Linked DNA regions of Drosophila melanogaster. The protein of the gene in region 4 purifies or fractionates together with the protein of the main gene of each other region. This does not show direct contact. Each region holds a gene or a part of one and is shown on either strand. Other genes may lie near its edges. The genes, in order: Ser, Dab, spdo and N.

Region 1 (4,911 bases), on a different chromosome or scaffold from region 4:
CTCTATTTTAATCTCAGCATTTTCAATCTTATTAAATAACTTAAGACTGTAAATGATTTCTGTTTTTTTAACGCGTTCTACGAATCTTGTTTATTGACATATGCTTGATTTACTGCTTTGAGAAAATTCCAGCGTAAGAGCTCTCATTAAAGACAGCTCTTCGGGATGCGGAGTTGATAAATCACTCAAAAAAATAAACCCAAAAATCATCATTATTTACGTCCCCCATCAAAACTTTGCCCTCAGCCATTGCCAATTCGCATGGGTTGAATCAACTTTGTCTGTTTTCTTTTGGCCTTTTTGACGAGACACTACACCCGCATGTATTTGGATCTGGGGCTTTTTGCGATTATTGCTTTGGGGATTCGATCGTTTTTTGCATGTTGGTTGGTTTGCTTACCTTATGGACTAACAGTATTAAAATTAAAGCAATTAAGTTGCAGGCAGACTTTAATGATCGACAATCGCGGATCGTCGATGGCAGGGTCGCGATTTTGGGTACCCGATGCCTCGGACGCTGCCTTTTTGTCGCCGTCTTCTTGGACATTCCCAGGCTGTCTGCTGATTCTATTGTTGACTCCAACGACGACGACGTAGCTGGTTTTCGCCGAAAATGTTTCCTAAACATTTTGTACATTCTGGGGGCGTTTGCGAGCGTGATGCTGGTTGGCGATCTAGATGGAGTTTGTTTCGGATTCACTCTGGATTGGCACCACACAAATGTAAATTCGCTGGGCAGCCTTAATTAGCCCATGTATGCAGATTTTGGTGCCTTTGTTTGTTTCTATTTTGCCACACTACACTTGCTCTGGATAGCTGAATAACTGGCCGTACTCTGGATGCTGTATCATTTTCTCCACTTTGCCTTCGTTTTGTTTGGTTTTGTTTGGATAATGTTGTTATCACACACAATTATTATTTATTATTTATATGGACCTTAGTATGTGCTTCTCTCGTTTTTGTTTTGTTCACACTTGACACTTCCACTTGATAGGCGCTGATGTTTTGTAGATCTTTAGCTGTAACAATTGTCGAACGAATTGGAATTGAAACGGGCTGCGCAAAATCTATTTCACTGTGCATCATCAACGCTAATTGACACGCAGATGATGCTGCTGCTGCTGCAGTTGCAGTTGCAGTAGCGGCAACCGCAGCAAGCCGCAACAAGTGCCACCAGCCACCGCAGCAACATTTACTTTTGCCAGACCGCAAAAAGCGGCAACGTGCAGCAAATGCAAATGCAATTCAATTTATGTTAATTTAACGCTGTTACTGCCGCTGCTGATGTGGCTGCTTCTGCAGTTGCTGCTGCTGCGACTATGGAGCCGTGTCTTTGGCCACAAACAATTTGCATCTTGTGCGCATATTAATTTACAGATATTTTCACTCTTGCTCACATTACTCATTCTTCCCACCCTGCCGCTGCTTTTGCCATTCCGGCCATCCTATCCTCCCATGGCCTTTAGCCCCCCAGCCCGCCCCGGTTCCTCCTGCTCGGGTGTTAATTGTCCATTTAATTAAGTAATTTGCTTGGGGCCTCCTCCCGGCTTTGGCACGGAACGGAAGTCGTTGACTTTGAATCGAAACCCAGATGCTGCCGCTCTTGCTCATGCTGCTGCTGCTGCTGCCGCTGATGTGGATGTTGCTGCTGCTGCAGGGCATGACCGGAAGTGGCTTTTGCAAGTGGATGATGCAGCTACCTCCCCCTTAATACCCCCTAATACCGCTACTTTCACTCTTCTCTCTTGGCAATTTGCAAAACGATGAATGAACTTCTAGCGGCCTCAAAACTTTAGTATACCGTGTATCCATTTCTATTTCTAGTAACTTCTGGATATACTCTGATTTATCAAATAATTGTGCAACCAGATCACCGTCTTGAACTTAACGATCTGAATAAGCTTTGGACCGTGCTAGATCCGTTATTCGTTGCATATGGTAAATCATTGAGCAGTGCATCGAGCATTTTCCGCGCTCTCTTGATCAGGGGCTTTCCCATGCTCGTACCACCCATTCAGAACCAAACTGATTTCACAATCTCTCTTTTCTCCCGGTGCACAGAAGAAAACTACACTACTTCATCTATACGGAAAGTTCTTTAACTTTCTAATAAAACATTTGTTATTCAATTCAAAATTCTTTAAATTTAGAAAAAAAAATCCGTGTTAAGCATCGCTTTTAGAAAGTCAAATACTTTCAATAGGTTGTTTGGGAATCCCACTTATTAAGTTCTAGTGGAAATTTCTCTATGTGCGCCCATTATTATTATTATTTGTATTATCTGCGTGCATTATGAACTAGTCGGATGTTTTCATTCTTTCTCCCTTTCACTTGGCATGTTTCAATTCCACTTCGTAGTTGTAGCTTCGTGTGTTTGTGTCCCTGTTTTGCGTCCCTGTGTGCGTTATCAATGGAGCACACTGTGGCCAGCGATTCCCCCGGAATGGGGCACTCGTTTTCGCATATTCACATTGTTTGCACTTTTACTTTTCGCCTTTGATTAAACACAATTTTGACGGCATTGTATTTTGATATATTAATGTATTGTATTTAATTGAAAGGTATTTCCGTTTTCCTTAGCTCACACGATCTGGGCTCAGAAATTAATCACACACTATGGAAACACACACATAGCAAAATGTCGGCTGATTGTCGATCTTTCGATTTGCTTTTCTTCCACCGAGCATTTGTAGTTGATTGCTCTTCATCATTTGTTGTAATCAGCAAGCAATTTAATTCGATTGCGGCACATTAAACACTTTCACAATTGTTATATGGATGATGGTCGGTGGCGTTCAGTTTGGGTGCACAATAATCCAATTCGAGGAGGGGTTTTACCGTTGACAGAAAAGGGGCTCATCACCGCTCGAAGCACGGCGCTCGACTAAACGCGTTAACCGAATCCTGCGGCATTTCCAGCCCTCGAGCAGCATCCATTCACGGGGCGGAGCAAGTCACGCGAGAGAGCTGCGGTTTTGGTGGTGGTAAAGGTGGTGAGGTGAGCTGTCGCTGCTGCTGCTGGTGGTGGTGGTGGTGGTGGTGATCTGCAGTCTTAAGAGAACTGTGGCTCGGTCTGAACCACCGAAACCGCTTTCAAAATAAACTGGCGACGACTTCCGCTGAGTGCTGCGTGCGCTTCAGGCTTCGACTAACGACTGATTGCCTCTGGGCACAAGTTGCCGTCGATCCCGAGAGCTTAACTCGCAGCGATTCTCTCTGTGCTTCTCTTTGAAGAAAACCAGTTTGCTCTTCGTGCAGTGCTCTTTAGCCAGCCGCTGATTGGTCGTACGACTGTATATAGCCCCGGGGCCCGGAATCTGAATCAGAATCGGCAGTTAATGGAGTTGCTGCCGCTTCGGCTGCTGCACGCATGCGCGCCCGAGGCTCTCGGCTGCCGTTTTTTACGATTCCAACTTAATTATGCCAATAAGTGCATTCTGGGGCTGTGTGTGTATGTGTGTGTGTGCTCCAGATCTAGTAGCTCCAAGGGACTGGCAATTAACACCTAATATGAAGGAACGCTCCCACAATCTTTAACGGCTGGGAACCAAATCGAAAGATACTAGCATCGGCCAATTATTAACCACACAGACAGAGCGGCGACTTCCATCCAATTATCTGCTGGCCAAAAGTGTATAAATCAAATTTAAATGCAACTGGCCTATCAGTGCAGCCAAAACAAAAGACTTAAGCAACAAACTTGGCAATTACATGCGGCCAACAAGACAGGCGGCAGCATCTTTGTTGTTGCTGCTGCCTACCTTACTGTTGTTGTTAGCGGCTCATATTTCTTGAGGCGCATATCTAAATATCGAATCATGTTGCTGATTTTCCATTGTCTGCCCACCACAGCAACAACAGCAGCAGCAACAACTGCTGCTGCCTCAACAACTGCAACAACACATAGTAAATCTCATTGTGCCGTTGTGACATGACTCTTGTTCGACAATAGATAAAACAAATTGACTTGGTGTGTGCCCAAAATGTCTTCTCTAGCCGTCTCCCTGGCCATTTGGGTCTCCATCCTCCTCTATTTGGTGGGCGTACTGGGCAGCGGTCTCCCAGCTCCTTTGTCATCTTTTCTCGCTTAAAAAAAAAGAAGAAAAAAAAAACAGAAGAAATGGAAGAAAAACTGCACTACAATGCCCATTATCAGCTTACATATCTGCGACAAGAGACCCCAGAGCGGCAATTGTACGGGCCACCGAGACGGCAACGGCAAAGGCAACTGCCAGCGGCAATGGCAACGGCTTCGTTGTCCAAATATGTTGCAAGTTGGTGTTATTCTTCACACGGCATCATAAATTTCACGTATAATTGACGCTTTCAGTTATATCAAAATTGGCTAAAAGGCGACGACCAGCTTTGCGTTGGTGGCCAGCAGACTACAGCCTTCAGCCATCAGCCTCCAGAGACTTCGAGCTGGTGCTCCCCAGAGATATTATTTTTGCTCACTGTGGCTTACATTGTTTTCGTTTTGATTTCAACTAATAGCAGACAACGACTTACAGGTGTCTTTGTGCGCGTCTCTCATAATTTGGGGGCACTCTGTGTTGGCGGCTTGTTGGACACTTGTTCGGGTTTGATGGCATTTCTTTTTTGGGATTAGCTTTCGTTTTCCGGCCAAGTGTTTTTGTGTTTTTTGGTTTTACTGTCACATGTAACAGCTGCAAAAGTGGACCAGAGCGGTGGCATAAATCCATAAAATCAAACATATTGAGTAATCAAAATGTTAAACCCACCCTCTTGACAAAGGTTCACCCCCTCAAACCAAAAAAACCCTCGTTGGGCGAGTTCATTAAACAAACAGGCAAATATGTTGGCAATTTCAACCAGTTGGTTTTACACCACTCAACATTTTATGACAGATTTTTCAAGTGTTTTTTCCGCCTCCTCGTTTTTCTTTTTTAA
Region 2 (4,986 bases), on a different chromosome or scaffold from region 4:
TCTTTACATTTTTTTTTTCTATCAAAGCTTAACAGAGAAATTTACTATTATAGTTTCAATTTATGTCAAACCTTTGTATAAACATATGTAATTGTGTGTACCGCAAGTACGAGCAATTACCTATCGGTTGTCGTCGATAGACCGATAGCCTATGTACCGGCTGGCGTACAGGGTGCCCGCGGCACTTGACCCACCACCCTCGAATCCTTGGAGTTTTACTATCGAATTTTCGGTGTGTGTGCATATCCTGCTGCTCCCAGGGCGTAGGACCCAAATTAAACTACAAACCCATTCAAATTGGGTTAAATTAATGGCCAATAACATGCAAAGCAGGAAGAACGTAAAAATCAGCTTGTAAATATTTGCCAAAAGAGTCGAATTGGTTTTTTCGCTCAGCCAAAATCACGAGTGTGTCACCCACTTCTTTGTGCTTCACTTTTTTTCCTGGCTGCCAGACAAAGAAAGCTGCGCGTGTTGTGCAATATTAAGACGGGAAAGGATCAAAAACAACGAATAACAGTTAATTGAAGTTAGATAGCTTACCGCTGCATAATGAAAGGCGTAGCTACATCCCTTTCCCACCCCCCACAACGCCTTAAAGTAGGCAAAGTGGAAGTAAACACGCACACAGAGGCCCCCGTTGGAAAATCGATAATCCGTGCCGTGTCCGTGTGAGCGCGTGCGAGTGTGAGTGAGACAAATGCCGGTGTGTTCTATCGACCGACTGGCACAATAACAACAACAACAAAACGCTGACTGTCAGGAAGTTGGGGAGTGCGAAAGAGACGGAAGACGCAAAGAGCGAAACAAGTGTAAACAAATCACAAAAGGCAATTAGCAATAAAACAACGAAGGAAGTCCAATAAATCATAAATAAATAAAGCTCTTTAAGGCTCAATCATTATTCGCAACATTATACGCGGCCAAAGGAATTACTACACGAATGCCAATCAGCTTTTTCTGAGCAAAATGCAGACGCTGCGCAAGAAAACGAGTCCTTGTAAATGTAAGTAATACAAATAACACCTTAAAACGGAATTTTTTCATCTATAAAGTCTTTTTAAAGTAATTCTTCTTGTGGGAAGAAATTTTTTTTCTTGAAATTTTTGCTAGTGAGGAATGATGAAATTATCAACTAAAAACGCAAGCCATTCACATTGATTTAAATTGCAGTGTTTTATGTCAACAACGAATTTATTTGGTATTGTCAATTGAATTAGGGTATATTATGTATTTTGAACACAGGCATCCCTACTTCGAAGTTCTAAAGTAATATTTCTGAAATCAGTAAAAGAAAAACTGTCCTAAATTGTTTCTCTTTAAAGATACTTTGCCCTTTTAACAGCACTGCATATCAAATTACACTCATACGCCATGTTGTAGAGACATGATAGACCTTTTCTAGGTGGTAAATATTTTGTCAGTCAACTTTTCTACTTTCCTTCCTGCATCTCCCTCGCACTTCTATTATCTGCGTAATTCGACCATAGCGTTCTCCTTTGTTTACTTAAAAAGCTAATCATACTTATGAGCAGGGACAAAGTAAATTCCTCACCATTAAGTAAAACTAAACGTTTTAGGTTTATTTCTGGCCGAAGCTAGCTTTTCAAATTCCGATATATCCTATTGATCGATCCCTCGATTCAATGCTAGACCCGGCTTATCGATAAGCGTCTCAGACAGCATCCGCCAATCGAATAGCAGCTGCTGCGCCGGCGTCGCAGGTGTTGCAGTTTTCCCAAAAAAGATCAACAATGGCCGAGAGAGCTGCTCGTTTTCTGTACTGTATTTTGCGCCACAAAAATCACTAAATAATAGAGTGAAATCTATGTGTACACACGAGTGCCTCAAAGAGTGTGTGTGTGTGTTTTTGTTTATTATTTCAATTGAACAAACTGCGACAATCCAGTCCAGTCGAAAAAGAGAGTCACCGTGAGAGCATTCGAATCGTTTCCACGCTCTCATTCGCTTTTATTCATTCCATGATCGCGCATCGTTCTCCGCTAGAATTTAATTAAATCTATAGCGTCGCGAAAAATCGTTGTGGAATTTATGTATTGTTTGTCCCCCATTGTGTGCCCCCTCCAGCACCAACACCCTCTCGTCATCGTCCGCGTCCCAATGGAAATGTCAACACACACACACACAACAGAGAGGCCCGGAATGCTACACTGATTCTGTTGACACTTCGGTGACCAGAGTTCCAGAATTCCAGAGTTTTTCCAGCCAGCGTTTTCCCAATGAGCAGGAGCAGTACCCACTGAGACTTCGGCCGGGCGAAACATGGTCAAGTCCCTGGTGGCCAAGTTGTCCACAGCCTCCTCCAATCTCTCGTTGGCCAGCACCTTTGGCGGCGGCAGCGGCGCGGCAGAGGAAACGAATTACGCAAAACGTTAGCGAAAACAAACTAAGCAAATACACAAATAACAAACAAACGAACACAGTGGCCCCTCCGCAGTGAGAAAGGGCAAACAAAACCAAGATACAAACATATGCGAAGATCACAGTGAAAATTTTTTTTGATATTGTGCTGATAAGACGAAGCTATATATAAAAAATCAATATTGGTCCTATCACTATAGCAAATTGAGATTTACTAATACAATAAATGCTGATATTCAAAGAATCGAGTTCTTTATAAAAAAATCTGAAGATAAAGAAGATGATCAGAAGAAGTTTTTCAGTGTACATACATGTTTAAAAATCTTTTAAATTCTACTTAGACGTTCAAAACTGTTTTAGCATTCAGTATAAAATTGTAATAAAGATGCTTCGGAAGGCAAAGAAATAATAAAACTGTTTTTAAATCATAGTTCCCAGCGGAAGGAATGAAAAGTGATGCGAAATATTGAATAGAACAATGAAAGTCTTCTTGATCTTGAATGAAGATTTTTAAAATTTCAAATTTGATATACCACAATAAAAAATATATAATCCATATAGATTTTGCATTCCATCAAAGCATCATTTTAAATATTGGATGATCCAACGAGGAACACAAGTGTTCATTCAAGCACATAATTACTCGAAAAATTTGAAAAATGAATCATTCAAAATATTTTAATGGGGATTCGGTCCAATAAACCCAGATTTGTGCACAATCCATAGAGTTTTGTCGAAATGGATTATACTTCTTTTGATAAACTAATGAGTAATTAGTTTGCTTGCCATTTCATCTTATATTGCAAATATTAAAGCATTTTCTTTTTAATTTCGGACTAGATGGTTTAATTATATTATAGTTCCGTTTCCTAAATACTCCTTTTGTAACTTTTTTATGTTTAAATTTTTTGAAATGTTGCCAAAATTTGTAACAGTGCTAAATAAAAACGTTCATAAATGTGGGTTCTCTCAAAATAAATCAGCCACACCCCAAATCCCACGGCTTCCAAAACTGACGAGTGACCACTACACTCTGTAAAACATTTTCGCCAAACCAAAATTATCCGAATACACACCTTAACAAACACAAAGACTCATTTTGGCATTCGATTCTTGGGCTCATTTTCCAGATCGCAATGATCCGGGACGCTTTTTCGGCGATGGCGTTCAGTTCAAGGCAAAGCTCATCGGCATTCTGGAGGTAAGAGTTTACTTTTTGGATAAATTTCAGTATCTAACATTGTGATCTTTCGAAATTTAAGGTGGGCGAGGCCCGAGGTGATCGGATGTGCCAGGAGGCGCTGCAAGATCTCAAAATGGCCATCCGGGCGGCTGGAGAGCACAAGCAGCGGATAACCATCCATGTGACCATCGATGGTCTGCGGCTGAGGGATGAGAAAACGGGTGACTCCCTGTACCATCATCCGGTGCATAAGATCTCCTTCATCGCGCAGGATATGACTGACTCGAGGGCCTTTGGCTATATCTTCGGATCGCCGGACAGTGGTCACCGGTTCTTCGGCATCAAGACGGACAAGGCGGCCAGCCAGGTGGTGCTGGCCATGCGCGATCTCTTCCAGGTAGTTTTCGAGCTAAAGAAAAAGGAGATTGAGATGGCGCGCCAGCAGATCCAGGGTAAGTCCCTGCACGACCATTCCAGCCAGCTGGCCTCCCTGTCGTCGCTGAAGTCCTCCGGCCTGGGTGGCATGGGTCTGGGCCACTCGGATTTGGCCAGCGGAGGAATCTCATCCGGCCATGCCCTCACCCTGCTGGGCAGTAGTCTTAGCACCACGAATGGAACGAGCAGGCTGGGCGTGAGTCTTGACGTGGCCAAGGCATCCGGATCGGCGGCCAAAGAGGTTCGTTACCCAGTCATATGCTATTTCAAACTATTTTTCATTACAACACTATATTTTATAGGTCTCTCCGGAATCCGTGGCCGATCTTGTGGACTTGGAGCAGGAGCTTACCTCGCTTCAGCGGGGAATCAGTCAGATGGAACGGATAACGCCAAACGAGCCGACCACCAGTAGCACTGGTGGTGCTGGCCATCCATCTCTAGCGAAATCAGCCAGCGAGGACGATCCTTTCGGAGACTCGTTTATCTATGTGCCCTCGTATAGCATACTGCCACCGCCACCTGATTCCGGACGCAACAGGCACAAGCCGCCCAACAAAACACCTGATGCGGTGACCAGTTTGGATGCAATGCTTTCGCCACCTCCTGGTACAAGTAGCTCCCACGGCTCAGCCTCCGCTGGACTACAGGCTGCAGATAACGACGATGACAACTGGCTGCAGGAACTGGACCAACAAAATGATGTCTTCGACACGTCCAAAGTGGTGAGCAGCAGTGGATTGGGTTCGGTTTTGGCCATGGCTCCGCTGGCCTCCAGCGAATCCACGGCCACTCCCACCCAACAACTGACGGAGGTTGCTGCAGGATCTGGACCTCTGGCTGATCTGGATATTGGACTAAGTACGGCCTTGGGAAATGAGGAACAGACCTCCACCATTTTGTCATTGGGTGAGTTGAAAAGAGCATCGCTCCTCCTACTTTTCCACATCATCGAAATTGTCGCGTCTTGTGTGAAATTTGATCGC
Region 3 (4,617 bases), on a different chromosome or scaffold from region 4:
CCGAGGACATTTCCGTGCTGCGGGATAATAAATTTGGTCAGTGAGTATCCCAGGGACTTGGCCGCTCCACTTCGAGAAGTTTATTTTTTTGGTAACCAGAAAATCGATGACTGTGCTCAGCTTTGTATAGCTCTAGCTTACTTCCTTACTTCTCGCATGCATTTAGTTGGACAAAAACTTACCTGTACTGAATGCCATTCAGCTTGCCCCTCGCCACACTCGAAGTGTCCAGTTGGTAGGTGTCTTGCAGGCGGAGCAAGGCCACCGCCGCGCCATTGAGGTCCTCGTCGGAGGGGAACTTCAGGAGGCTGCGATACTGGGTGATGTTCTGCAGGAAATCCGTGCCCACGTCGTGCTCCATGAGGTTCTCCACCTGACGCCAATCGGTGGTTAGCCGCTTAGTCAGCAGGTACGCATTGATTGGATTGGATACATAGGCGGTTATATCATGGGAGGCATCCGAGTGCTCCCTCTGGTACTCGTCCATTTTGCTGCAATTTAAAGAGAGGGCAAAACTTAGTAGACAGAAGAGCAAAACACATTGCTTTAAAATATGCACCGTATTTCAATAGTTAAAAGGTGCTGAAAGCTGAAAAATAATTGTTTACTCAATTAAGTTAAGTATCACGACGCTGAATCTATAATTTTAACACTCGACCTATATTTGAAAGTGTTTATTCACCATATATATATTTTTGATTGTTAAAGAACTAACCTAATTGAACACTTTAACCATTTCCTTATTGATACAAAATGCTGTGCTGGTATCTACGTGCCTTTATTTTATTCTTATTCCATAACATACTTATACTTAGGTGAACAATAAGTTAAGCAAACTAAGTGTTAGCAATAGGTACAACCCACTTGTTATATACAGTCGTTTGGGGGATGATGATCTTCCGCTGATTATAAATCTAATTCTTGTTTTTGGTCTTTTAGCCGTTCGGTGTGTCAAGTTCTTGAATTCGAAGTGGATGGTGTACAACTAATTAGAGTCTAGGATTAACTATTTCCAGGGTATTAGACCACGTTGACGCGGTTGTCTGGCGGAGGTCGGTGGCACCACAAGCTGCCCAGCACTCCCAATCCGATGAAGAACATGGTGAAAGTCGACAGTCCAAGGATGACGCCAGTGGTCACATCGTGGACAGGAAATCCGGGGAAGGGGTCCACCACGAGTATCACAAGCAATCCGCAGGACTTGAATAGGCAAAATACGGTGACCAGGATATAGCCGGAACTATAGCTCCTGTTCGGCAGCCACTCGCAGTGGCGCGACTTGAATCCCAGGAAGCCGAGTCCCATTCCGGAGAAGGAGGCCACCAGGCTAAACTGCAGGTAAAAGGACTTTCCGAGCTGTAGGCGAAGAAAAAGTGTTATTCAAATGTTTCCATGGACAAAATGAATATCTTTAAAAGTATTTGAGAGTACTTACGTGTGCTATCATGTAGATGATGAGCCCCGCATTCATGGTGCTGCCCAAGACGAGCATCAGGGAGACAACGGCCAAGGTAATGGTGGCATTGGCCATCTTCTGCGGATAGGAGCTGTTTTTCTTGCCCTTTCCCTGGATGCTGCTCATGTCCTGTTCCCGTTCCTGCTCCTGCCCCTGCTCCTGGACCCTGGGACTGATGACGGCCATGGATCGATCGGCGATCTGCATGGGAAGCGGCTTCACGGTCTCGTAGTGAAGTCTCTGGGGGGAGAGTCGATTCTGGCGAAGTGGCAAGGTTGGAGGGACTCCTACTACCGCTCCAACTTGTTGGCTTTGGTAGATCTGTTGGCTTTTGTAGATCTCCAAGCGCCTTTCCAGCTGCAGCTGCTCGTGGTGGGCGGCGTTCCGGGGCGTTGAGTGCGCCAATCGCGGAGGCGGCTGCATCTTCCTGGGCGTGGTCAGGAGCTCGTGCAGGGCCCTCGTAGCGGCAGCCGCATTCTTTTGCTGCGGCGTTGAGGTCCTCGCTGCGTACTGCCTGCTCAATTCCATGTTGCTCAGGCAGGTTTCCTGCTGCTCCTGCTCCTCCGCCAGATCATCGTCGTCCGCATCCGTGGGCACCACTGCATATCGATGGGCGCGGCCATTGTGCATCTGTATGATCTCCTGGTTCTCGTCTACCAGCTCCTCGTCCTCGGCGGTGGGCACCATCTGGTACCTCTGGTTGCTATTCTTATCCACTATCAAGAAGGTCTTGCTGCCGAAGTCGCTACTAAAAGCATGCTTAATCTGGGTTTGATTGGCATTGGTATTGTTGTTAATATTCCTGGGCTTGGGCGGCAAATTAAGTATCGGTGGCAAGCTGGCAAACTGGGTCTCCTGATGGGGTTCCTCGTGGAAGGAGTGAGGCTCCTCCTCTTCGTGCAATCCATGTCTGGAGCCATAGCGATCCAGATTATCCTGTGATCGGGCCAGTCTCTGTGCCGCCTGTCCTGGAACTATGGCGTATCTACTGGCCCTACTGCTGTTCAGTTCCTCTAGGGGAACCAAGGCATAGCGACCACTAGAGGATTGCGGCTGGTGTTGCTGCTGCTGAGCCAGGTGTTGCTGGTGTATCTGCTGTTGGTGTTGCTGCTGCTGCTGCTGCTGGTGTTGTTTCCGCGTCACCGATCGCGTGGACATGCTACGCTGCATTCGCAGTGGACCCTCGCGGGGATCTCGAGTGGCGCGCGGAGGAGCCGCTCCAAAGTTCATCTGGAGGCTTCTGTTGTAGATGGACTCCACTCGCGACGAGTTGCCGCTGGGCACCGGGTAATACTCGCTGTTCTGGCAGAAGGCCGGGTTCGTATAGTTATGCTGCGACATGTTGGCACTGTACTGGTGGCAATTCCACAACCTCTTAGGGGTGTTCTTTCACTACTTTGGGTTTTCTTTGGGTTCGTAGCACTGTTCACGATCCGCTCGCCTCGGCAACTGCGACTCGACTGATCTAGAGAGCCGTTCCAGACGGCAGCTCCTCAACTTCCTCCACTTCCTGCGCCGGCGCGCAGTCGAGTGGATCGTGCTCCGATACGAGTCCCCACCCCATAAAACACCATTTACTTGTACATAAGACACCCGTACACCCGTACAATGACCGACTGTGTTTGGCGCGTTCCATTAGGCCATTGGAACCGAACCGAATGTGAAAACCCAGAAACATCTGCTCCTGCTGCTCGACGAACGAACGGGGGTTGAAACGCATTTCACTTCCAACTGAGACGTCTCAACGCGATCCTAACCAAAACCTAAAAACCCCTGGCGAATTGCAGGAGCAGCCGGCGTTTTATTCGGTTCGCGTTTATCGGCGTTTTTAATTCTTATTTACCAACTCATATGCGCTCCCTTGCGACTTTAATTCTGTTTTGCTACCACTTAGTTGGCGAGTTGAGGGGTATGATGAATGTGTTTTAAATCCACCTAAGATTATACTCGAACATAACCAGTGTAGAGCAGATCATATCAGCACACTGTCATCACCGAGAATTCAACATAATTTAACTATCATAAAAGTGTTTTTTCTTTATTATAATCATATAAGAACTAGTTGTTCTTGTTCCTTTTGTTCATCCGCTGCTTTGTTTCTCGACCGAAATATTTAAAATAGTTTATTGTTTGTTGAAAACATATCGTGCTTTTATTATATATGGTTAGCATCCGTATATCGGCACCATTAAAACAAACTTTTAATGAATGCTTTCACAAAACAGTTTAGTTTAATATGCACATATTTCTGACGTAAAAGCGTCAAGCCATAAAGTAGAGCTTAGCTTCAGTCAGAAAGAAATGAAACAAAAGAACTTAAGAGATTAAATTATTTCACTTCGCTTATTTATTTTAAGGGGTACCCTTCAGTCGCGCTTGCTTCTTAAAAATAATCCTTGCTCAGCTCTGATGTTTGTGCAGACCAAAAACCTTCCCTAAAGGCAGCCCTCCCCGGATTTTTGTTGCCCAAGCGACCGTTACATTTGGTTGTCAGAGAAAAACGATAAAAAACGAAGAGTTCGTGGGTCAACTTTATCCGGATTTCGCCTCCCACGTGCATACATATGTACATGCCTTTGAGCCCGCAGGTTGGATGCACGCGTGTTGTCCTTTTGTGGTGGCCAACTTAATTGCCTTTTGGCCAGAAGCAAATCAGCGCAGCCGGGGGCATTTGTCAAGCGGATTAGCCAGAAATTGGAGGCACCAACAGCTGGTCGGTGGGAAAATTTAAGATGCATATAAAGTTAAACGCCGGCAGACGGCACGCGACTAGAGTGCGGGGTTTCTGCACAGTATCCGAAGGATACTCGGATGCAGATACTCAAAGGCAGGGGCAATGACAGCGCACAAGGATAACAGACAGAGACGGCAGGCACACAGCTGTCAGCTGTTTGCGAGGATCCTGTCTCGTCCTTTGTTGTGACACAACCAAGGTACAAATGCAGGAACAGAAACTCAACTAAACTCAACTGAACTGAACAGCAGAGAAACAGCCGCAAAGATAGATCCTGAATCCTGAGTCCTGAGTGCGACTGGCATTATTTGATTAGGGGAGTTGTCTCACCGCATCCTGCACCCTGCTCTCTCCCCCATATTATTTCCGCTGCCAGTTGTCATATATATACGCCACATAGATCCCCTTCGCATATAAGCAAGAGATA
Region 4 (5,254 bases):
TCTCCTGCTGCTGTTTCACTTTTGGCTCCAGGAGCCCAGCTGTCGTTTATTCCAACTACATTCTTTCTATATGCGCCTGGTTGTGTACATATATGATGAAATCGAATGCGGTGGTTGGTTCTGGTTCTCGTTTCTCGAAACCGTTACGTGCCACATTAAACCTGCAAAAAAATAATACCCTAAATTTGTGGCTAAATGCAGGCGTTCGATCGCACAAAGTTGAACAAACTTGGATTGGAGCTAATGGGGCGTAAATTTGTGAGAACTTAATAGGTACAAAAATGTACATGAAGATTCGAGAGATTTTTGTTTTTTTTTTTGGTTTTTTTTTTCCATCTTCGAACACTTTTTTCTTAGCGCAGTAGTAGAATGAAGTGAACTGAATGCAAAGGATGCCCTTTTTGTTTTTGCAATATATCCTGGCATCAATTAACACTCTTATTATTACTACTTTCAGCATTTTTTTCACCTTTATATGCATATGCATTTGTATACTTTTTTATACCGTTTATTTAACTTTTACTACAACTTCCTTTGGCTAAAACTGCAAAGATCACACGATTACCCATGGCTAATAAAGCCAGAAAAAAAAAGAGTTTAGGAGGCGGAAACTCGAGCTCAGGAAATGCCCAGGTAAAAGTTATAAACATAATAGTTCAACGCTCTTCGGTTGCAGCTGTTAAAAAATATAAAAAAAATAGCAGAGATCATGGAGTGCGTAATAATAAAGTTGCCCAGTGCTCAGGGATCAAATTTCTAGTAATGATCATTTAATTGCTTTTAAACGTTTGATGGATTGATGGATTTCGATAGATTTTCGAATAATGAAACAACAAAAAATTCTCTGACATTATCAAATTTGTTTCAAAATACTATGATATCGAGCTGCATTCCCCATACTTTCTCATCGTTGAGCCGAGAATTCCGTCGAAGAGATTTCGAGTTCCATGGAAAGTTGACATTTTACTGGGGCAATCGACCCTAAGTACACCTACAACCGATCCGATCCGATCCGATACGATTCGGTGTTTGTTCAGTGATTAGACAACGACCGCTCCATATGCAAATACCCAAGTAAGCCCCATGTGCATGCGGCACAACACAGCGTGTGGAGGAGGAGAGTTCGCTTCCAAAGCTGGAAAGGAAGTTGGCCACTCACTACTAGCGAGCAAATAGCGCAGTGAGAAAACACAAAGGAAAGAGTGCCTAGAGTGCTAGGGGAATGGAAAAACTCGCCTTTTGCCGACGGTAAAAACGGTCTTTCTTGTTTCGAAAAGGTGGGTTTCCAAATCTGAGAGAGCATGCGCAGTCGGCGGAGAGCGAGACAGCGACAGCGATCGAGCGAGAGCGAGAACGAGATCAGCGAGACAACAAGGAGAGAGAGAGAGAGAAAGAGAGAGGAAAAAAAAACGACCACCTGTCCGAAAAGCGACAACAAAGCGAAGCCAAGGAAGACAGCGCAAAAGGAAGCGCGGTGAATACAAGCCATGAAAAGGAAGGCGAAGAGCGAAGAGGAGCTGCCCAAAAGGGAGACAAACGAAGAGGATCGAAAAGGGAATGGAGAAACACAGAGAACGCATTTGGGAGCGGATTCCGACGATTGCGTTTAAAGTGAAATTCTTTAAGGTAGGATTTGCAACAATCCTATAGGCTTATTAAGCAGATTAAGTAGCATCACTTCCTTTTTGGATTACAGTTGCATGGGTTTGCTCAGTCACTTATATGTGTTGCGAATGCATCCGATTTTATAGACCAACATTTCCTAGCTATGCAATGTAGCGATCTATCCAACGGGTTTAAGCGGAACTAGTCCAATGCAAATGTATGTATATTTTGTAATTGCAATTTTAGTTGTTTCATACTAAGTATGCTCCATTTAAAACTGACATCTAAGACCAAACAATTATGCGATTCAGTACTATTAGTTGAGATCCACATCTTTCAGCTATACAAGATCATCTTATCTCATAGTTTTGGTTCTGTAAAAAACCGTTCTTTGGCAAGCGTTTTGGAACGTTTTGAGCCTCCTGGAATTCCAGTTTGTGCACCCACCCTATTTTCGGGCGACCCCGCCTGTCACCCTGCCCTCCCCCCGCCTAGTTGTTCTGATCGGCGTCTCCGCTTTACTCACCAGTTCCGCGAACGGTGTTTGGCAAATTCGCAAACGCCAGCGTCAACAGCAGCAGAGGCAGCGACGCCGGCAGCGACGCAACGGCGTGCATTTTGTTAATCCAAAAACAAATCCAAGTGTTTGGTGCGCGACTGCGACGTCGGCTGCGCTGCGATTGCATTGTAATCCAGTTTTCCAGTTAACCACTTTTCCAGTTTTTCACCTCTACTCGCTTCTCGGTTTCTTTAGCGCTCCTCTTTGGTCTCTCTTTGAGGATATGTTTAACTGCGAGTTTAGGTTTAGTATGCTAGTCTCAGTAGTTTAAGCAATTTTTTGTTTTAGCGCGTTTGTTGTTTTTTTGTTTTTTTTTTTGTTTTTTATAGTTTTGAACTTCAGACTTTAAAGCTTTATTTGATAAACTAAGAGGAGGCACTCTCCCGACGACGGCGACATTTTCCGTTTTGAAACATAAAAAAAAAGTGGCAAAAAAAGAACGCTTTTCGTGTATCTTTTGCTTGCTTTTCTCTTCGCGAGGATCGAGCCACAAATTCAAATTCAAACCGACGCCGCACGCTTGCGTATTGCTCTCTTCCTCTTGCGCTTCTTGCACTCGGCTTTCGTCTCACTCTCACACACGCGCGACTCGAGGTAGATACACTTTTCGAAAATCCTTGTTTCTCTCCCTCTCTCTCTCTCGCTCTCTGTGTCGCTCTCTCGTTGCTATCCCTGCGACAGGCACTCCTTGCTCTTGCTGAACGGCTTTCCCGCTGGGGCCATCCTTTTCATTTCATTGCATTTGCTTGCTGTGTAATTGATTTGTTTGTATATCCTGTTGGCAGCGCGATTTTACGTGCGTTGTTGCACACACATTCAAAAAAAAAATAAATGTTGAGAACTGTGCTCTGCGCTTTCCAGGTTCGTCTGCCTAACGCTCGTCCGCTTTCACAACCGTTTCGTCCACTGGAAAAAAGCGATCTGTTTCAAATCGGCAGTGTGACCGCGTCGGTGCAAGAAAAAGATACCGTATGGCGGGGAGCCATTTTGGCAGCGCGCTCTTTCGCAGCGTTGCGAGATCGGTTGGTGAACAAATAACGTTAGCCGGGCTCCGAGCCGCTTGCATGAGTAGTTTCCCCATTTCGCCGAATGGCGCTTTAGTGCCGTCATAGCGGTATGTAGAAATTACGCTATGTAAAATGTAAAATTCGACAATGTAAGATTCGTAGAAATTACGCTATGTATAATGTAAAATTCGACAATGTAAAATTCGTAGGCACTGGAAAAAAATGTGCATAAATTTGATTGAAAAACGCACTTGTAGCATTTTTTAAGTATTTTATTTTCCTTTTGTTCTCGTATCTTTATTTCAACTAATTTGAGTTGTTCTCGACTTAAGTTAGGTTTTCCCGCAATACGTTCTTAGTTTTCATTTTCCGTACCTTTTTTTTTCGCAACTCCGCTTCCTGCAATTATCATACTTTACTTGGCTTAATAGGATTTCATTTGAATTTCATTTCGTTTCGTGTGTAACGTCTATATAATTGAACGCTTAATTGAATCGTTTGACAATTATCGAAAACAAAAAAAAATATGTAACACCATACTTATCTCCGATTTTCGGAACGCTATCCCAGTTAAAAAGCTCGGCGCAATTGGCCCACGGAAAGAATAGAATTAGATTCGAGTGTATAAATCAGTTTAAACGAACGGGCATTATTTTTAAGCATTTTCAGAATTACTTTAGATAAATACATACATATGTATATTCTCGAAAGAAACAAAAAATAAAATATGAAACAATAAATTAGTTAATTAATTACAGTATTGGCTTAGTGAATTAAGAACCCAACGAGGAATCATAAGGCAGCATTTCGTGTTAAAAATTGAACGCTTTACACTTAATTGCGTTTTTTTTTTTTTTGGTAGATCGCTCAAATGTTTTACAAATTGTTTCTAAGCTTTTTAAGTTTTTCTTTTTACCTTTAAAATTCTTCATTTACGTCTATAAATAGGCTTAAACCTAAACTAGGCAGACAAAAAAAAAAAATTACAAACATTCTCTCTAATCTTAGCTAGTCATTTTTTAATTCAAGCGTTGACATACACATTTATGCTCTATATATATATATATATATATATATATACGATATACAATATTTCATTTGCTTCTTTACATAATTGATTTAAGTTCAAATATCATTTACGCGCTTAGGGCTAGACAAAAAAATATTCAACTTTTCACATGGATGCTGAAATGCTGTGCCACTGAAAACCCGATCAAAAAGTTGGAAAGTGGGAACTATATATATATATATATATATATATGTTGGTGGTTTTTCTAATTTTATTCACTTTACTCGTAAATCACCAATATTTGGACATCTTTTTGTTTTTAGTTTTTTGCGGCTTGGGGATTATCGATTAAATTGCAATAATACTGTAGCATCCCGTAAAAATATAGTTTTCAATTCAATTTCAATTTTGTTTGTTTGTGTGCAAAATAATAGTTATATATGTTACTTTTGGCTCTTCTTGACCGGGTCACAGATGCAGCACAGCACTTAATCTAAATATTTTCTCTCACTGCATTCAGTTGGTTTCGTTTGATGTATACGTAATTAAGTCTAAAAAATTTGATAAATTTTGGCTTAGAAAATTGTTTTTGCTTTCTGCTGCTGCTGCTTTACTTTTCATTTTCGTTTGCTTTTATATTATTATTATTTTTGTTTTTTTTTTTAGTTCCAACTAACTACACAGGCTTTTTGTTTTGTCATAATGTATATAATTGAATTGATTTTCGGTTTCGTTTTAAAATTGTATGCAACACGCTGTTTAAAATGAACTTTTCAAGTTTTGTAGTTGTTTTGTGTTTTTGTTTTTACATTTCTGTTCGATACGCGTTTCGTGTTTAATTGATATACGATTTTTTACTCGATAAGTAGCTTAAGATTTGCACTAGTTGATATAATTTGCCGCTGCGAAACTCATCGAGCTCAGCCATAAAATAATTAACGCTATAAATCACAATACGGTTTTTGTTTTCTTCTGTTTTTTTTTTTTGTGTTTTGTTTTTCGTTTTTATACACATTTCTTTTTTTTACTCAAGGGTGTGTTGAACTCTTTTCTCTTTTTTTTTGTTTTTGGGAG

The links.
Region 1: the proteins of N (region 4) and Ser purify together in Drosophila melanogaster (affinity purification with western blotting; 5 studies listed by BioGRID). This does not show direct contact.
Region 2: the proteins of N (region 4) and Dab purify together in Drosophila melanogaster (affinity purification with western blotting; 4 studies listed by BioGRID). This does not show direct contact.
Region 3: the proteins of N (region 4) and spdo purify together in Drosophila melanogaster (affinity purification with western blotting, with the first as the bait; 2 studies listed by BioGRID). This does not show direct contact.

Annotation. Positions count from the first base shown.
Region 1 is NT_033777.3:27,191,106-27,196,016, forward strand, and holds the start of Ser (serrate), read right to left. Parts: upstream 3,163-4,911; 5' UTR 2,839-3,162; intron 1,020-2,838; 5' UTR 638-1,019; coding exon 401-637; intron 1-400.
Region 2 is NT_037436.4:16,711,929-16,716,914, forward strand, and holds the start of Dab (disabled), read left to right. Parts: upstream 1-1,731; 5' UTR 1,732-2,283; coding exon 2,284-2,392; intron 2,393-3,512; coding exon 3,513-3,583; intron 3,584-3,644; coding exon 3,645-4,241; intron 4,242-4,302; coding exon 4,303-4,909; intron 4,910-4,986. UniProt on the Drosophila melanogaster protein: Together with Abl, involved in embryonic neural development. May have a role in eye development. Acts as an adapter protein for SH2-domain containing proteins during sevenless (sev) signaling.
Region 3 is NT_033777.3:30,474,993-30,479,609, reverse strand, and holds spdo (sanpodo), read right to left. Parts: upstream 2,927-4,617; 5' UTR 2,798-2,926; coding exon 1,436-2,797; intron 1,357-1,435; coding exon 1,021-1,356; 3' UTR 761-1,020; downstream 1-760. Other genes in the region: PH4alphaEFB (prolyl-4-hydroxylase-alpha EFB), read right to left, coding at 1-17, 183-491.
Region 4 is NC_004354.4:3,132,705-3,137,958, reverse strand, and holds the start of N (notch), read right to left. Parts: upstream 3,090-5,254; 5' UTR 2,292-3,089; coding exon 2,132-2,291; intron 1-2,131. UniProt on the Drosophila melanogaster protein: Essential signaling protein which has a major role in many developmental processes. Functions as a receptor for membrane-bound ligands Delta and Serrate to regulate cell-fate determination.